Struthio camelus: one gene and its partner. The protein of the gene in region 1 purifies or fractionates together with the protein of each later gene. This does not show direct contact. Links are inferred from orthologs where the notes say so. Each region holds a gene or a part of one and is shown in the gene's direction. Other genes may lie near its edges.

Region 1 (7,837 bases):
TCATGTAATATAGTTCAGAATTTTCCCATTGCTTCAAGCAGTTTCAATTATAGTTTCATAGTTTGTCCCATTGATAAAGAAAGAGAAGCATTACACTAGTCTGTATTATCAGAGAGATACAATATGACTATTATTATCTAAAGCATCTCAATGGAGGTATTCCACTCAAGAAATGTTATGTATTTTGGATAAACACAGCTATGGATGTTCTCTCTTAGACTTCTAGACCTGTGCATCCCATGCCTATACCTCTAAGCGTGCCCCATGCTCTGCCCGGGGACGTAGCGGTAGGGTTGGTAATGACAGCAGGAACCAGGCAGGCTAGTGCACCAAGAAGGCATTTCAAAGCTTCATTTAGAGGAAGTTCATTTAATTTTTCTGCAAAGCTTTCTATGATAGCATATTATCATAAAGCAATCCAAGCAACGTTAGTGCCAACACAATTTTATAGATGAATTTTAAAATGTTTCATTATCTGAATTGTAAATTTATGACACATTTTTTTTGCATGATTTTTCCTAGCTAGAAAAATTAAATGATTTCATTTAAACTTAGGCTTCCGCCCATTAAATTCAGGAGGAAGGGAAGATGAGAAAAGCTGTACTCACAGTTTCAGATGCTGGGTTTTCCTACCCCTAAACCAATGACAAATTATTTTCATTGAAAAGAAGATGAAACAAGAATTACTTTTTGCTGTTTGATTAAAGTTAACATCAGATATTGCTAAGTCAGTCATAAGCAAAGCTCTAGAGCTCATGTAGAAGGGGCTTCCAATGCGCGTACTACACCCCCTTGGGTGGGCTGATGCAGGCTGTTGCCTTTACCATACCCTTAAAAGTGGTCACTAATAAATGATCTTAATTTGATTTTAACTTCCTCCTAGGATGATGATATGAGCAGCATACAAGGATCTGTGAATTACTGTCTGCCAGGGACCAGATAAAACACCTCGCTTCCTAAGTCAACTTTGTTCTGTGATAGCCAATGGGGGGGTGCAACCACTATTTCATGCTAGGCTGTAAAAGCCAAGCTGTTTTTTTTTTTATTATTTGAGTGTTGTCATCTGTAATAAAAAGCGTTCAAGACAAATTTGACCTCGCTTGCCTGTCCTGAGGATTTACACTAGGCTCTTCAGCAGTTTACAGACTACCCTTCCAGAAGGCAATGAGTTTCTCATACAACTTTTCCCTTTGAATTGAATGGCATAGGTGTTAACCGCCAAAGCATACTGGCCATTCAGCTGGAAGCTTAAGCCTACTTAAGTTAGTTCACAAATATGCAGTGGCTTGCTAAATAGGAACCGGACTGGGTCTTTGCTTTGCAGATAATAAACTAACAGTTTAGAAAGCAGTTCCTGAGGGTGTACTGGAGAGGAAATGATCACATATTTGCTGATCTTCAGGCTGCTGACTTCACTGATACTGTTAACGTAAACTAAATTACCAAAACTCAGGCCTTTTCTCATCTAATAAGACTTGATTCTGCTAAGCTGGCCTTAATGTCTCTCCTAGTGAAACCACTAGCCTTTCTTTCTGAGAAGAGCAATTTCTCCTCTCTCTTTGAAAAAAAGGAAACGAATACATTCTCTGTGCTCTTTCTTTTGTTTTCACTGACCAGTCTGTACCCACGTGAAACTGCAATCGCAAATTCCATTTAGCTTTGTAGCAAACAGGTAATTTCCATCCCCGCTATTTAATAAGAGAAGACAGACAATGTTGTTTGATGTAAAAATGGCTTCCAGATCATCTAGTCTCATTCCTGTCTCCTATCAGACAACTCTTAAGCTTGTGATGGTCACTCATATCATTCGTAAGTAAGAATCAGGATTTGTGTTCAGGGAAAAAAAAAAGAAAGCTGAACATCATCCAGATTGAAATTTCAGTTCTCTTACGACACAGATACTAAACAACAGAGTTGATAAGGACAGGTAACTTCCTGCCTCCAAACGTGGACTGGCCACAAACTACTAAAGAGTCATTGTCTTTAGACAAAATAAGTTTTTTTGCTTCAATAAACTTGAATAGTTTCCTAGAGCCAAATCTCTCCTCTCACGTTTGGATAAAGTTCCCATTCTAAGTAAGGGAGTTGCTGGTATATGTACATGAGTTTGGGTTTTTTTGTTTTTTCTCATGGCGTAGAATTTCAGAGCCATTGAATTCATGATACTAAACCATCTTGCAGTGGCCTAGATGCATTTTTGGCATCTAAAGAAAGACAGCTCCTTGCCAGACCTGCTTTCAAAACCTAGATGAGAAAGAAGTGCCTAGTTTAATTCTTTCTCCAAAATATACATGACTCCAAAAACATTAACTCTTGAAATGTAGTTGTTATAATCCCTGTCCCCTGTTTCTAGGATACCTTATTTATATCATACTTTCACTCAAAAATCTTATAAAGTGGAAAACAGGAAAGAAGACGACAAGACATTAAGCGTGAACTAACTTGCTTAGTGGCAATTTCTTGTCCTGCCTTCCTCCTATAGAAAATTCTGCTTTGTCCCCTACCAGTTAATATTTACATTTCCTGTTTTCTTGGGGGCCGCTGTCCGGCTGATTATATCACACCAATTAAACCTCAGAGGGTCAAAAAGAAAATGCTGCTTTTTGGCCAACTGTTCCCCTTTCCTCTGGAAACTCTCTCTGCAACTAATATTGCTGGAGACAAGACTGTGGGCTAAGTGGAGCACTAGCATGTTGTCAATCTGTCAGCTTCAGTGCTTCTAAAATGATGAGAAATGCTTCTAAATTCTCAGAAGTGGGCTAATATGCTCACAGAAGTTACTGGTAGAACTCTACAGACCTCAGTGGGATCGTATTTACAGAAGTGCTAATTTTAGAGCTACTGGAAAAAAATCACACCCTTGGTCTTCAAGATACTGTAAGTTTTGAATAGAGGAAAATACACGTTTCTCCTCTAAAAATGGTGAGCCTGTAATTAAGATACCCACAGCCAAATGAAGAAACACGGTTGTCTTCCATAAGCAGAGCAGAGAGACGTAACTAAAATGTAGATTATATAAAAACACAGAGAAGTCTTAGAAGTCTTTCCACCTGTCTGATCAATATTAAGGGGTGCAATTGTTCTGGCTTTCCCCAGAGGTGGTCTATCAGCAAGTTTGTGTTAAGTGAACTGGGAGACCTGTATCCCCCTTGCCTGCAGTCACTCCACAGCATGGATCCTTCTTGTTTACTTCCAAACCCAACTAATTAAAAGTGGACTTAGTTCTTGCGAACAGAGAGTTCTCTTTCTTGTCTGTCTCTCTCTTGCTCATTACACGTTTCTCGACCTCAGTGATGTGAAGATTGCTTTGTCAGAAAGCAGGACACATTCAGAAAGCTAAGAATAAGGTTTTTCTGAGCACAGGAAATGGGAAAATAGAACTCTATTGTCTTCCTCTGCTCTGAGGTTTATGTTCCTCCATAGACTCCTGTGGGATTTCAGTGCTGTCTAATAGCAGTGTTAGAAAAATAAGTGACTACTGCAGAAAATTTGCATCAGCACTGGATCTAGTTGTCACTGTACAGCGATTTCTTGAGTAAAGAGTATTTTTAGTCAAAACATCTAAAAAAATAAGTTGGAGTTGATACTCTATAGTGGAAGACACACGCTGTTGCCTTGAGTTTTTTTCCTGAGGATGACTCAATACGCTAAAGAGATCCTTTTGCTTCCAAGGCTAGCTTTCAGACAGAGACAGTGAGCCGCGTTACGGACTGCGAACTCGTCTTTACACCCCAGGTGAGGGCTCCCCCACACAGAACGCAGGCTCTGACGCCCGGGGCTGGCCCCAGCTTTCTCAGACGCGCAGGCAACCTCGAATTTTGCTCCCGGGGGGACAGGAGGGCAGGAGGCCCTGCTTTGGGCCCGCCGCTCCGGCCGCCCCGAGGCGCCCGCCCCGGCGCCTCCTGCACCCAGGCAGCCTGCTCGGCGCAGGGCTAGAAACGCCCTCCGCCCTGGCTAAAATTTCAGATGGCCAAGCGTCACGTTTTCGCCCGCGCTTCTCCCAGGCGCTTCCTGTTTTCCTTGGCCCGCTCGGTTGGACGCGTTATTTCGGGCAGTTTCAGGTGGCGGGTGAAGGGGGCCAGCATAGGGTGACAGGCCACCGCACGCGCAGGAAGCGGGGCCAGCTGTGGTGTGTGCAGTTAACGTTCAGTTCGCTTAAAAATAAACCGGCTCTGAGAGGCTGACAGCACGCCTTCAGTTAGCCTGCCGTTGATCAACGGCGCACCACGGCCCCGCTCTTCCGTGCGGGTCGCCAGCCCTGCTCACCCAACACCCTTTGCTTTCAAAGCTTAACAGGACCCTTTCAATTTATTTATTTATTTATTTATTTGTTTATCTATTTATTTATTTTCCCTAGCGTCTCAGCCGCCGAGCCCTCCCTAGCGCCGCGAAAAAGCCTCGCTCGCCCGAGGCCGCGGTGGGCAGCGGCACCGAGGAAATGGCGGCGGGGCGCGGCCCGCCCTGAGGGGGCGCGCGGCGGGGCGGGGCGCGGCGCGGCGCGGCAGGGCGGCGCCCTCAGGGCCCCGCGGGGTGGGGGGTGATGAGGGGGTATCGGGGCGCCGCCGCCCCGCCCGCCGCGCTCACGGCGCCGCAGAGCCGCCCCGAGGCAGGAAAACAGCGCTGGCGAGGGAGGGCCGCGGGGGGCCACCCCGCCCCGCCCGCTCGCCGCCGACATGAGCGAGGCGGGAAGGCTCCCCCCGCCCCGCGCCGCCTCGCAGCCGCCGACCCCTCCTGCGCGCCCCCGCTGCTGAGCGCCGCCCGCCCGGCGGCGCGACACCCCCTCCCCTCCCCGCCCCGCGGCCGCCGCCGCTGCCGCCGCGCCGCCTCGCCGCTCGGAGGGGAATGGGTGGAGTTGAGGAGCGCGGTTTCCTGAGAGGAAGTGACCGCACGGGGCAGGAATGCGCCGCCGGCTCCGCGCCGCATCCCGCCTGCCTCGCCGCGGTCCGGCCGGCAGCCCTCGCCGCCCCGCCAGCCATGCCGCACTTCACCGTGGTGCCGGTGGAGGACAAGCCCCGCGCCGACTACGACAGCGTGGAAGGGCTCAGCTGGGTGGACTACCGGGAGCCGCCCGCGGCGCCGCCCGCCGCCGCCGCCGACCCCTACGACACCGTCAGCTCGGACGGTGAGTGCGCGCGGGGGGCAGCCGCTGCCTGCCGGCGCCGCCCGCGGCGGGGGCCAACATGGCTCCGCGCGCCGCCACGGGCAACGGCTGCCCGGGGAGCGGCCGGGCGGGGCGGGCGTCGCCGCCGGCTCTCAGCCTCGGCCGAGCCCGCGGGGCCCCCGCGCAGGCAGGTGCGCGGGGCAGGGCGGAGGAGCCGCGGCCGCGCACGGCGTTATCGCCCCCGCGCAAGCTGCCGCCGCCGCCGGGCGATAGCAGCGGGCTCCGCGCAGGCACCTCCGAGCGCTTGGGCCGCTCCTCTGCCTAAATAACGCCGGTGACCAGAAACTCAGTGAGCTGAGCCAGCTCTCAGGTGGCCGGTTGCTTCCCCCCCCCCCCCCCCTTATGTAATGTCAGAGAAACGTGTCCGCCCGGGAAGGCGCTGCAGCCGGTGCGCCGTGCCCGCCTTGCCGTTCCTGTTAGGCATAGCCGCTTTTTGTTGGTGGCTAATTTATTCCGATTACGGAAGAGGCTCACGTAAGGGGGAGGGGATTTTGGGGCGGGGGGGGAGTGGGAGTGGGAGTAGCTCTCGTGATGAGGCAGCTAGTGTCAGCGCTCGGCCTGTCTTGGCCTTTGGCTCCCACCTTTAGGTATAAATCAGCGTAAAGGCGATGAGTGTTTGCGGTGGTCAGAGGAAGGAGGGTTAAATTTGGAGAGCGGGGTGTTTCTGGAAAACTGTTGCGTGCGTGTGTGTGTTATTTTTTTTTTTTCGTCCCCCTGCCTTGGTTGCGTTTAGTCCTGTAACCCTCAGGAAGAGAACCCCCTGAGGGCTCCCACTCGCCCTTTGTGACTCAGGGGCGATTCCAGGCTGGTCTGTAAGTGCCCGAGTTCCTCGCCCGCCTGCAGCCAAACTCCGCGCAAGCTCTGTGACACCGCGAGGCGCGCAGCGGTCCCTGAGGGCAGCCTGCTCCCCTCGGGCCTGGGCTTGAGGAAGAAAGAAGGGTGGCTTGGCGGAGCGTGATCCTGAGTTGTCCTGGCACCAGCGTCCGGTTCGTGGCTTGACGCCCTGTTCGGTTCTCTGTGATCTGTACCTCAGTTTCCAATGTGTAGATTTTTTTTGTTAAACTCTGTTTTCAAATGACATTTAGATTTCGTTTTCTGTTACTACGTAGGCCTGGTGTCCATTATATGAATTCTTTTGAGTTCTAGCATGGCCGTTTTGGAATGGTGAAACGTAATTCTCTTTCCCAACGTGTCTGTTATCACAGAATTAATTTGGGGCTCCATCCCTAAAGGCTGTGCAAGGCCTTGGCTTCGTTTTGTAAAAAGGTATGTTTTAACCTCAGGTTACCTAACAGACAGTTAATATATAAGACAGTGATGCAAATAGCTGGTTTCCACCCATCTCAGCAGGTTGAAGTGAAGACTTGGCAGAGTACTTTCCCCATTAGCTGGCTTTGGGCATGGGTTAGTAAGTGTGACTCCTGGAAGCTACTGCTGTGGTGACTAAAGGAAGGTCAACTCAAACTGCCTGTCGTTTGGGTGTCAGAGTGCCCGTATGGTGCACGCAAACAACACGCATCAAGATAGTCAGCTCACCGTCCCGATCTGTCAGTAGCCGACAAGCTGTGGTCACGTCAGTACTGCTGTTCAGGCTGTCACGCAAGAACTGTGCTGCTGGAAGCTAGCTGAGTCTCATTCTTTTAAAACTGATAAATATCTGGTAACATCTCTATTAATGTACAGTTGTTGAGCTCTATTTCTGTTTGAACTATAACTGCCTTCTATTTTTTAATTTACTTTCACAGTAATTTAGTGTTGTTTCATATCTTCAGGGCATATGTATAAAGATACGCTGCTTTGCCTACCTGTGCTGACGAGCGTGCGCTTCCCCACTAGCCTTTTCTGTCTCCTGCTAGGTTTCGTGAATCTATGGCTCTGTAGAGGGGAATCTGAACTCCCTGGTGTTACTCCTTTGCTTCTTGGTGCTTCCTTCCACATCCTGTGCAGAGTCCGGGAGACTCACACACTTGGGCAGCGTTAATAATAGGACGTGGAGGAGATGGGAAGCTTCTGCTGAAGGCAGAGGGTCTCATAGCTGTTAAAGCGCCGGCTGAAGCCTGTGGGCCGGAAAGGAGAAAACAGCTCTCCGGAGCCTTTGGTGGCAGTTGATTTGGGGGCTTGTGGAGGGATTTGTTGGTGGTGGTGGGACCCTGGTTCCAGGTAAGGTAAGCTGTGTTTGACTTGAGTGCAGAGTTTCCCAGTTTTAGTTTGTGGCCCTGTCAAAGTACGTACCATTTGTGCTGGCACTATGTGAATGCGTGCAGGGCTGCCTGAACTGTACGTGCTCATCATCCGATTGCTCTGTGTGATCAAGTAGTGCCGCCGTAGTCAGAATGGGGAATTGGCTATTGGAATTATTCTCCTGAATCTTCTCCAGGGAAGTTAGTATTTTAGCAGCTTGTTAGTGAGAACCTCATTTAAAGACTTTTTGGCTTGCTCAGTTTGAATGGAAGTGGGTTAAAGTAACTGAGTAATGATATGGTTCTTAAAGTATGTTGTCTTTTCATGGTGACGGAACTGTCTATAACTGGTCTATAATAGCGGGTGAAGTAGGGGCTTTGTTGTTCAAACGCTCCTTGCACAGTATCTCAAGCTGTTGACTGTGGTTCTCGTGGATTCTGACTTCCCTCTGACCTTTTCACTCCAACCTTTATTTGTCACAACATGGTCTTGTTT
Region 2 (7,938 bases), on another chromosome or scaffold:
CCTCCTGTCTCTTTCTGATAATTATTAACTTGGGCCATTTGGTGGATCCCTGCAGAGTGCAACCTGGTTTGGGTTTGATCCTTATGTTTCGCCATTCCAATAAAAGGCTGCAAACCCTCATTTACAGCCAAGCTCTGCAGTGCAGCAGCTGGGGCCAGATCCTGATTCGCCATAGCTCCAGCTACCAACTGAGACCTCTCCCTGGTGGTGTTGAGGGGTCTCCAAGAAACAATAAGCAGTGGATAGCTTGCTAAAGCTTTCACTCGGGCTCACTCAACAAGAGTTGTTGAACCTCCTGAGGGAGGCAAAGGGACAGCAGGCAAAGTCAATAAGCAGAGTACCATTTAGGATTGCTTTGAGAGCTGCTGGGTTTGACTCCAGGGGATGAGGCATGTAGGCACACAAGCGTGCGACGCTGCAGGGCAGGAAGGGGAATTGGTAGCACTGGCAGGTGACATGTGACCTGACCCAGCTTCTCTCTCCAAAGCCTGGTTGCCAGCTCCGGCCATGTTCGGTGCCCTCATTGACTCTTCCTGCATCTACTGGCAGAAACAGTGCACCCAGCGCAGGTTCTGCGTCTACTACAACAATGACTTCCTCCGCAACAGGTACATGCACGCGCTCGTTCCACAGGATCACAACGCGCGCGCACACACACACACACACACACACACACACATACACACACACACAAATGCACACACACACACACGGCTGCAGTGTTTCTGGCTAGGTCCACAAATACCCCCCAGGAAGGTGAATGCGCCATGCTCATGCCCCACGCTCATTTGCAACATCCCCTGAACTTGCTAAGAGGCAGTTTCTGGAGCCCAGTCTTGGGTGCTTGGGGCTCCATCCTGCAGAGATGTGTGTCCTCGTCAGGTTCACTAGTCATGTTGCCTCACCAAGAAAATCCAGCTCCTTTGGGATTATTTTCAAGGCAGAAATTGGAGGACAACAAAGCAGGTCCTTCAGTTCCCATGGCCCCAGCACACCTCTAGGTCTGGCTCCAAACACACAGGTGAAGCACAGGCCATGTCCTGTTGTAGGGGAAGAATCCTGCCCTAGTGTGTCCCACCACAGCCGCGCCCAAAGCTGGAATGAGAACAGGCCACAGCTCAAGCCAGGATGAGGCTAGCTGGACTCCATTTCCTACACAGCAACAATCCTATCTTTAGACAGAACAAGGCCCTGTGTTGCTCCTGGCAGGAATGACACTCTCCTCTTTTCTCTTGACAGATACTTAGGCCTGCAGATTGGGTACAAAGTGATAGGCACCGTGCTTCTTGTCCTCATCAGCTGGAAAGTGAAGAAGAGTAAGGAATACAATGTGCAAGAGAAGGCAGCTGGTCTGGTGTAGCCTGCCCAAGGACTGACTCTGAATGTACCTCCCCAACCTGCCTGTACCCACTACCAGTACTTTGTCAATGTTTTTTTTGTGAGGGAGCAATTTCATATTAGCAGCCAAGCTCCAAACTCCTCTACTGCAACTTGCACTGCAACGCACCTACCCAGCCTGCAGTGAAACATCTCTGTGCTCCCAAGAAGGGACTTCCCAGCCAGACTCTTCGGGAGGGCTGCGATTACCCAGCAGCAGCTCACCCATGTTACAATGAGAGCACTGCCTCATGCCAGCTCCGTAACCAACCCTAGCAGGGACCTGCCAGCGTGGTCGTGAGCTAGGTCATGGGTGCCAGGGCTAGCTCTGGACTAGTCGTGGCCAGGACTGGGTCCTCCCACATCCTTTGGCGGAGCCTCGTCCATCACTTTGGGAAGAGGACAGCCTCCAGCCACGATGACTGCCTCTTGGGAAATGCTGAAGGTTTGTTGTGAGGCAAGCAGGAACATTTGAGCAGTTACAGGTCTCCAGGAAGGGGTAAGGACAGGGGAGCAGGAGCTGGAGGAAGGTCTGCAGCCCAGCCTCATCCCTTTTCCACAGAGGTGCCTGCTCAGGGCAAAGAGCCTGCTTTGGCTCAGCATGTTGCAAGCCAGGCAATGTCTGCCTGGCTGGGACAAGAGTAGGGGAGAAGTCTGAGAAGCACTGGAGAACTGTCCCTTTCCCTCTCCCTCGCTGTACACCTCACACAGGTCACTGTGGACACGTACATGAATTGTAAAAAGTTATTACTAGTGGTTTATTACAGAATATGTGTTCATTTGTTTTTTAATAAACATCACTTTTCCAATTGTGGTGTTTTGCTGATCTCCCCGTGAGATCCTTCTCCTTTCACCATGGGTTAGGTTCCTGAGACGACTGCAGGACACATCCTAGGAGGTGCTGTTATCCCTCGCCAGCTAACAGGAAGAATTGCAGATTTGGTGCACCGTGTGTTTGGTGCTTTTCTATGGAAGAAAGTCTCTCCCTCTGAGCAACAGGCCCCGTTGGAGACCTCTGGAAAGGGAAGATGGTAGAGGTGTTCCTCGCAGTGACCTTTGTAGGTCCACCATGGAGCTCCTGCTCTCCTGGCCCCGGGACTGAGGAGGTTCTACAGAGCTTAGCACCTTTCAGATTACCTTTAGATAAGCAAGGAGTAGCTCAGCTCCTCTAGGCAGAAATCTAGCCCAGGTATTTGTTGTCACACACCCAACAATTTCACAGAATCACAGAACGGTTGAGGTTGGAAGGGACCTCTGGAGATCATCTAGCCCAACCTCCCTGCTCCAGCAGGGACCTCCAGAGCATATTTCCCAGGATCGCATCCAGACGGGTTTTGAATATCTCCAGGGAAGGAGACTCCACTACCTCTCTGGGCAACCTGTTCCAATGCTCAGTCACCCTCACAGTCAAGAAGTTTTTCCTCATGTTCACATGGAACTGCCTGTGGTTCAGTTTCTGCCCATTGCCTCTTGTCCTGCTGCTTGGCACCATGGAGAAGAGACTGGCCTCATCCTCTCGACACCCCCCCTTCACATAGTTGCACACATTGATGGGATCGCCTCTTAGTCTCTTCTTCTCCAGGAAGAGCTCAAGGCAATTTGCTATCAAGCTCAAGTCAAATCTATGCAGAGGAGCACATATCTTAGAAAGCATGGCCCTGAGAGAGGCAATGATAGCTTTGTGCCCATCAGCAGTTAAGTTCACAATCCTGTAGAATGTGTTTTCTAAACTGGCCATTGATTTTGAGTGTGTGACATGAGATACCTACAGAGGCCTGAAGTGAGGGAGAACGTCAGGAGGATGCTGAGTCACTATATGTAGTGTCTCACTGGCAGATCCTGGCTTTAAAAGCTGGCTCCCAGAGGGTGGGGGTTGACTCTTGATGCCTAATAAGCCATTTACCCTAATGAACTTGGCAGCTGGGCTCCAAACCCCAGAGCAGCTTGCTGGGCTCCCTTTAGGCTGGTGGGGCAGCGGCAGGTGACATCCGAGTTGGTTGGGTGCTGCTGTGGGGAGGCAGGCCACACTGCACGGAGCTCTGTATGGTGTGGCATCGCTAGGCAGGAGTCTTTGCTACCTCTCTGACAAGACACAGACTTGGTTCCCTTGTCTCTTTGGGTTGTTTCCTGACTTGGAACTTCAAGTTTTAATCCAGGGGTAAATCTCACCATGGCCTTTCCTCACGTAACACCATCTCATGCTCCTGTGGCCATGTGAAAGGTGCTTTGGGTCTGGCTGGGTGACTACCATGGCCAGCCAGGGGGAAGAGGAGCCTTCCCTACCCTCTGTGGTGTGGTGGCCTGGGCCCTCCCTACCTAGACCTGCACTGTCACTGCCATGAGATGTCACTGGTACCCTCCTGAAGGCCACCTGCACACTGCCGTGAGATGTCTGCAGGTACCTGGAGCATGCTTGGAGGGCGGGGGTGATGCAAAGTACCTGCAGTGCACAGGGCCCTCCAACATGGGGACCCCATAGCTTGCCCTTCCCACCAAGACTGCTTTGCAAAGCCCTATTTCACCTGTGCAGAGCCTGGAGCTGCCCTCACTGGGCACCCCATGGTCACTCAGGGCACAAGATGCTGCCCGCATGGGTTTGAGACGGGGCAGGGCTGAGATGGGGCCACTGAGGCAGAGGGTTAAAAATAGCTGGCATGAGCAGTGCCTGGATAGCCTCCCCACTTGCTGCTTGGATGAACTGTGCAGCACAGATCAAACGTGAAAGGAAGATGCTGAGCGCACTCTCCCCTCTTTTAGGAGGTTAGCTGGCTGCATTCAAGGCTATCTGATAAGGGCTGGTGGGAAGGAAAAGCTGGAAAAATCAACAGAAAGGGCTTGCCCCTTCTGACCTTGGGAACTGCTATTAAGCTGAGCCTCTTACCCTGGCCTAGCTGAGCTGCAACATCGCTGTGTTGCAACCCTGCCTCTGCCTGGCAAGGGACCCCCCTGCCTGGGCAAAGTTGGCCTGCAGCGAGGCTGAGGGGCCATGAGGGTTTTATGTGAGTGGGCTGTACGAGGTCCTACCCAATGGCCCCGACATCCTGCAGCAGCCCAATGGGCTGCAGAGCCTGCCTGTCATCCTTAACTGCACGCTGGGAGGGGAGGCAGGGAGGACCGTGCGGTTTCCGCGCCCGGCATGCAGAAATGCTCTGCGCGGGGGGGAGCTGCCCTGCTTCAAGCTGTTGCGGCCAGGGCGCAGCAAGAGAAGGAAGACTCGCGCAATTAAACGCAAGGACTTATTTAAATGATGCCGTGGGGCAGCTCTGCGCGAGTCCGTGACAGACGCCAAGCGCTGCGGTGGGAGAGGCAGCACCGCGGTGAAGCGTGTGTGACGAGCGCCAGGAACAGCAGAGGCGCGAGCCCGAGGGGCACCGCTCTGCACCGAGGCCCGGCTGAGTCTCCCAGGGGAGGCGCTGGGCAGCTTCTCCGGGGGCGTCGCTGGAGACCGCACCGCACCCAGCTCCGGCCGCCGCCACCGCCGCCCCGGCCCGGCCCCGCCCCGCCCGCCGTGGGCCCCGCCCCGCCCGCCCCGCCCGCCGTGGGCCCCGCCCCGCCCGCCGTGGGCCCCGCCCCGCCCCGCCCGCCCGCCGTGGGCCGCGCCGCGCCGCAGGGCCCGGGGCGGTGGCTAGCGCGGGCCGGCCCGGCTCGGCCCGGCACCATGTCTGCCGGCGGGGAGCTGGGCAACCCGCTGCGGAAATTCAAGTTGGTCTTCCTGGGGGAGCAGAGCGGTGAGCGCGGGCGCGGGGCGGGCAGGGGGCTGCGGCGGGGCGGGGGGACCGGTCCATGCTGGGGGGCTGCTTTGGGGCAGGGGGACCGGTCCATGCTGGGGGGCTGCTTTGGGGCAGGGGGACCGAGCCATGCTGGGGGGCTGCTTTGGGGCAGGGGGACCGGGCCATGCTGGGGGGCTGCTTTGGGGCAGGGGGACCGAGCCATGCTGGGGGGCTGCTTTGGGGCAGGGGGACCGGGCCATGCTGGGGGGCTGCTTTGGGGCTGGGGGACCGGGCCATGCTGGGGGGCTGCTTTGGGGCTGGGGGCTGCTTTGGGGCTGGGGGACCGGGCCATGCTGGGGGGCTGCTTTGGGGCTGGGGGCTGCTTTGGGGCTGGGGGACCGGGCCATGCTGGGGGGCTGCTTTGGGGCTGGGGGCTGCTTTGGGGCAGGGGGACCGAGCTGGGCTAGAGGCGGCCGCAGCGGGGCACGGGGTTGCAGTGGGGTAGAGATGGGGAGGGAGTGAGGCAGGATGGCGGCTGCAGTGCGTCAGGGAGCTGCAGTGGAGTAAGGGGGACAGAGTCAGGCTGGGGGAGCTGCGGTGGGGTAGGGGAGACCAAGCCAGGATGGGAGAACTGCAGTGGGGCAGGGTGCTGCAGTGGGGTGAGGGCTTGGGAGGAACCGATCTGGGCTGGGGGGGGGTACACATTGGGGCTGGGGGCTGCGAGGGGATAGGGGCTGGGAGGGACTGAGCCAGGCTGGGGGGTCGGGGGGACAGCATGGCAAGGGACTGCGGTGGGGTGGTGGGGACCAAGCTGGACTGTTGGGGCTGCAGTGGGGCAGACAGGATTGAGCTGGGCTGCAGTGGGGCAGGAACCTGGGGGGGGGACTGAGCTGGGCTGGGAAGGAGGCCACAGTGGGGCATTGACAGCCAGCAGTGGAGGCCCCGGGGACTGCCTGTCTTTGCCCAGAACGGTGTTAATTCTGCACGTTTCCCTTGTGGCCTGGCAAGGGGAGATGTGGGGGGCTTGCTGCAGCCCCCCCCCGTCCCCCCCGAGCCAGGTAGCAGGGTGTTGCTGCTGGGCGATTGGCTCTGGCTGGCCAGAGGTCAGGGTGTGCTCTGGTAGGGGGGATCCTCTCTGCCTGACCCATGCACTGGTGGGACAAGGGATGCCTGGAGCTTTTCCTGTGGACCGTTCAGGAGAGGGTGGAGGGTTTGCACCAGCTGGGATTACAGGTGAAGGACAGGCTGGGGTCCACCCTGATGCTAGCCAAGCAGCTCAGCTTTCCCTTTGGTGATCCCCTGCCCTATGCTCACTCCTTGGAGAGATTAAAAAGAAAGGAAAAAGAGATGGGGGGGGGGGAATGCTGCAGAGTGAAAAATGGTTTGGCCAATACATGGGGCTCCAGAACCTCCCAGCCTTGCTGAGATATTTTTTTTTCCTGCCTCTATTTTCCTACTCCTGAATTGCCACCTACCTGTGCAAAAGGAAAAATGTTGCAGAATGCAAGAGGATGTCACATGAAGGGCCTGACTGCCATGGGGCAAAGTAATGGTTTTATAACTTCCTCGGTAGCTCCATTTGCAACATCAAGGAAGAGGAATTGCTGGGCTTTACTGTTCCCAAATCGCATGGTTGCAGCTTGCTTTGTTTGTTTTGTTTTGTGTTTTGTTTTGTTTTGGATTTTTTTGAGCTAGTGTAATACATGGACAGTGGTCGTTTCTCAGCCCTTTTGGAAAAGCTAAAACGTTGTCAGGGTAAAGACGATAAAGGTTTGGTGCGTCAAACAGGGAGGATTTGGTGGCAGCCTCAGCAGGAGCCTGCTTGGGCTGCTCTTCAGTTCAAGCCGCCTGATTACAGGCAGCATTGCAGGCTGCTGCCTCCTTAGGGGTGAGCTGAATGACTTCTCGCCCGGCTGATGGCATGGTAGGCTGCTGGACTGCCCATGGTGCCCATCTTGTCTTGCCCTCTCCACTTACTGCTTTGCAATTTTCTGCAATTTCTGCCTTTTCATTGAGAACAGCCTTGTGCAACTGGTGAATCCCATGGAGCCTCTCCGGATGATTTTACTGCCATATGGGCAGCAATTTTTTTTTTTATTTTTAAAGCAGCAAAAAGCTCCCAGATGTACCTTCTGGTGGCTGTGCTGTCCGTGTAGGACATTGCCCGGCCGCAGTCTCTGAGCTGCAGGATACCTCACTCGTTAACAGGGAGTGCTGTAAATACAGCCGATCCCTCATAATAACCATTTGTATTTCAACTGCACAAGACCTTGCTGGATCAGGATAGGAGGTGACAATACACCCTGCCTTCCCCAAGCATCCTGGAGAAGACCCTTGTTTGCATTCTCTGCTTCTGAGCTTTGTTCCCATATGGAACAAAAAAGGTCCCTCTACCCAAGCACCAACCCTTTACCCTGTGGCATCCAGAGCCAGCTGCAGCTAGCAAGCTGTCCGATGATAATCTGCAGATGGATGTCTTCAAAGCAAAAGAATTAGCCTGCATTTTCACAGCGTTCCTCTTCCTCCCCCCATCCATGCGCTCAGTATGGGGAGACAAATTCATGAAACAACAGTCAGTCCCTGTGGAGAGCTAGCTAGGGAAGTTGGATGCTTTTTTCCCCCCCTTTCTGAAATGTGTGTACATGCAAGACCTTTGCTGGGGTACTGGGCTCCTGATGTTTCACTCTGGCGACAGTTGTGATTCTCCCAGTGCCGTGAGGACCATGGGCAGGAAAGGCCCTGGTGTGCAGTTGCAATGTGGTTGCAATGCTGATCTCAGTTAATGGCATTCTAGTAAAGTGAGCACTCTGGATTTCTTCTCTAGGGACTGAACCTGTCATGTGCGCAAAAA

The links. The genes of interacting proteins can lie anywhere in the genome.
Region 2: the proteins of SLC12A4 (region 1) and RAB6B purify together in Homo sapiens (co-immunoprecipitation; 3 studies listed by BioGRID and IntAct, with this or other methods). This does not show direct contact. The link is inferred for Struthio camelus from reciprocal best matches to the Homo sapiens genes SLC12A4 and RAB6B.

What each region holds. Positions count from the first base shown.
Region 1 is NC_090951.1:20,533,357-20,541,193, reverse strand, and holds the start of SLC12A4 (solute carrier family 12 member 4), read left to right. Parts: upstream 1-4,827; 5' UTR 4,828-4,842; coding exon 4,843-5,122; intron 5,123-7,837. UniProt on the Homo sapiens protein: Mediates electroneutral potassium-chloride cotransport when activated by cell swelling. May contribute to cell volume homeostasis in single cells. May be involved in the regulation of basolateral Cl(-) exit in NaCl absorbing epithelia.
Region 2 is NC_090950.1:2,735,782-2,743,719, reverse strand, and holds the start of RAB6B (ras-related protein Rab-6B), read left to right. Parts: upstream 1-4,928; 5' UTR 4,929-5,035; coding exon 5,036-5,105; intron 5,106-7,938. Other genes in the region: SLCO2A1 (solute carrier organic anion transporter family member 2A1), read left to right, coding at 488-608, 1,240-1,360. UniProt on the Homo sapiens protein: The small GTPases Rab are key regulators of intracellular membrane trafficking, from the formation of transport vesicles to their fusion with membranes. Rabs cycle between active GTP-bound and inactive GDP-bound states.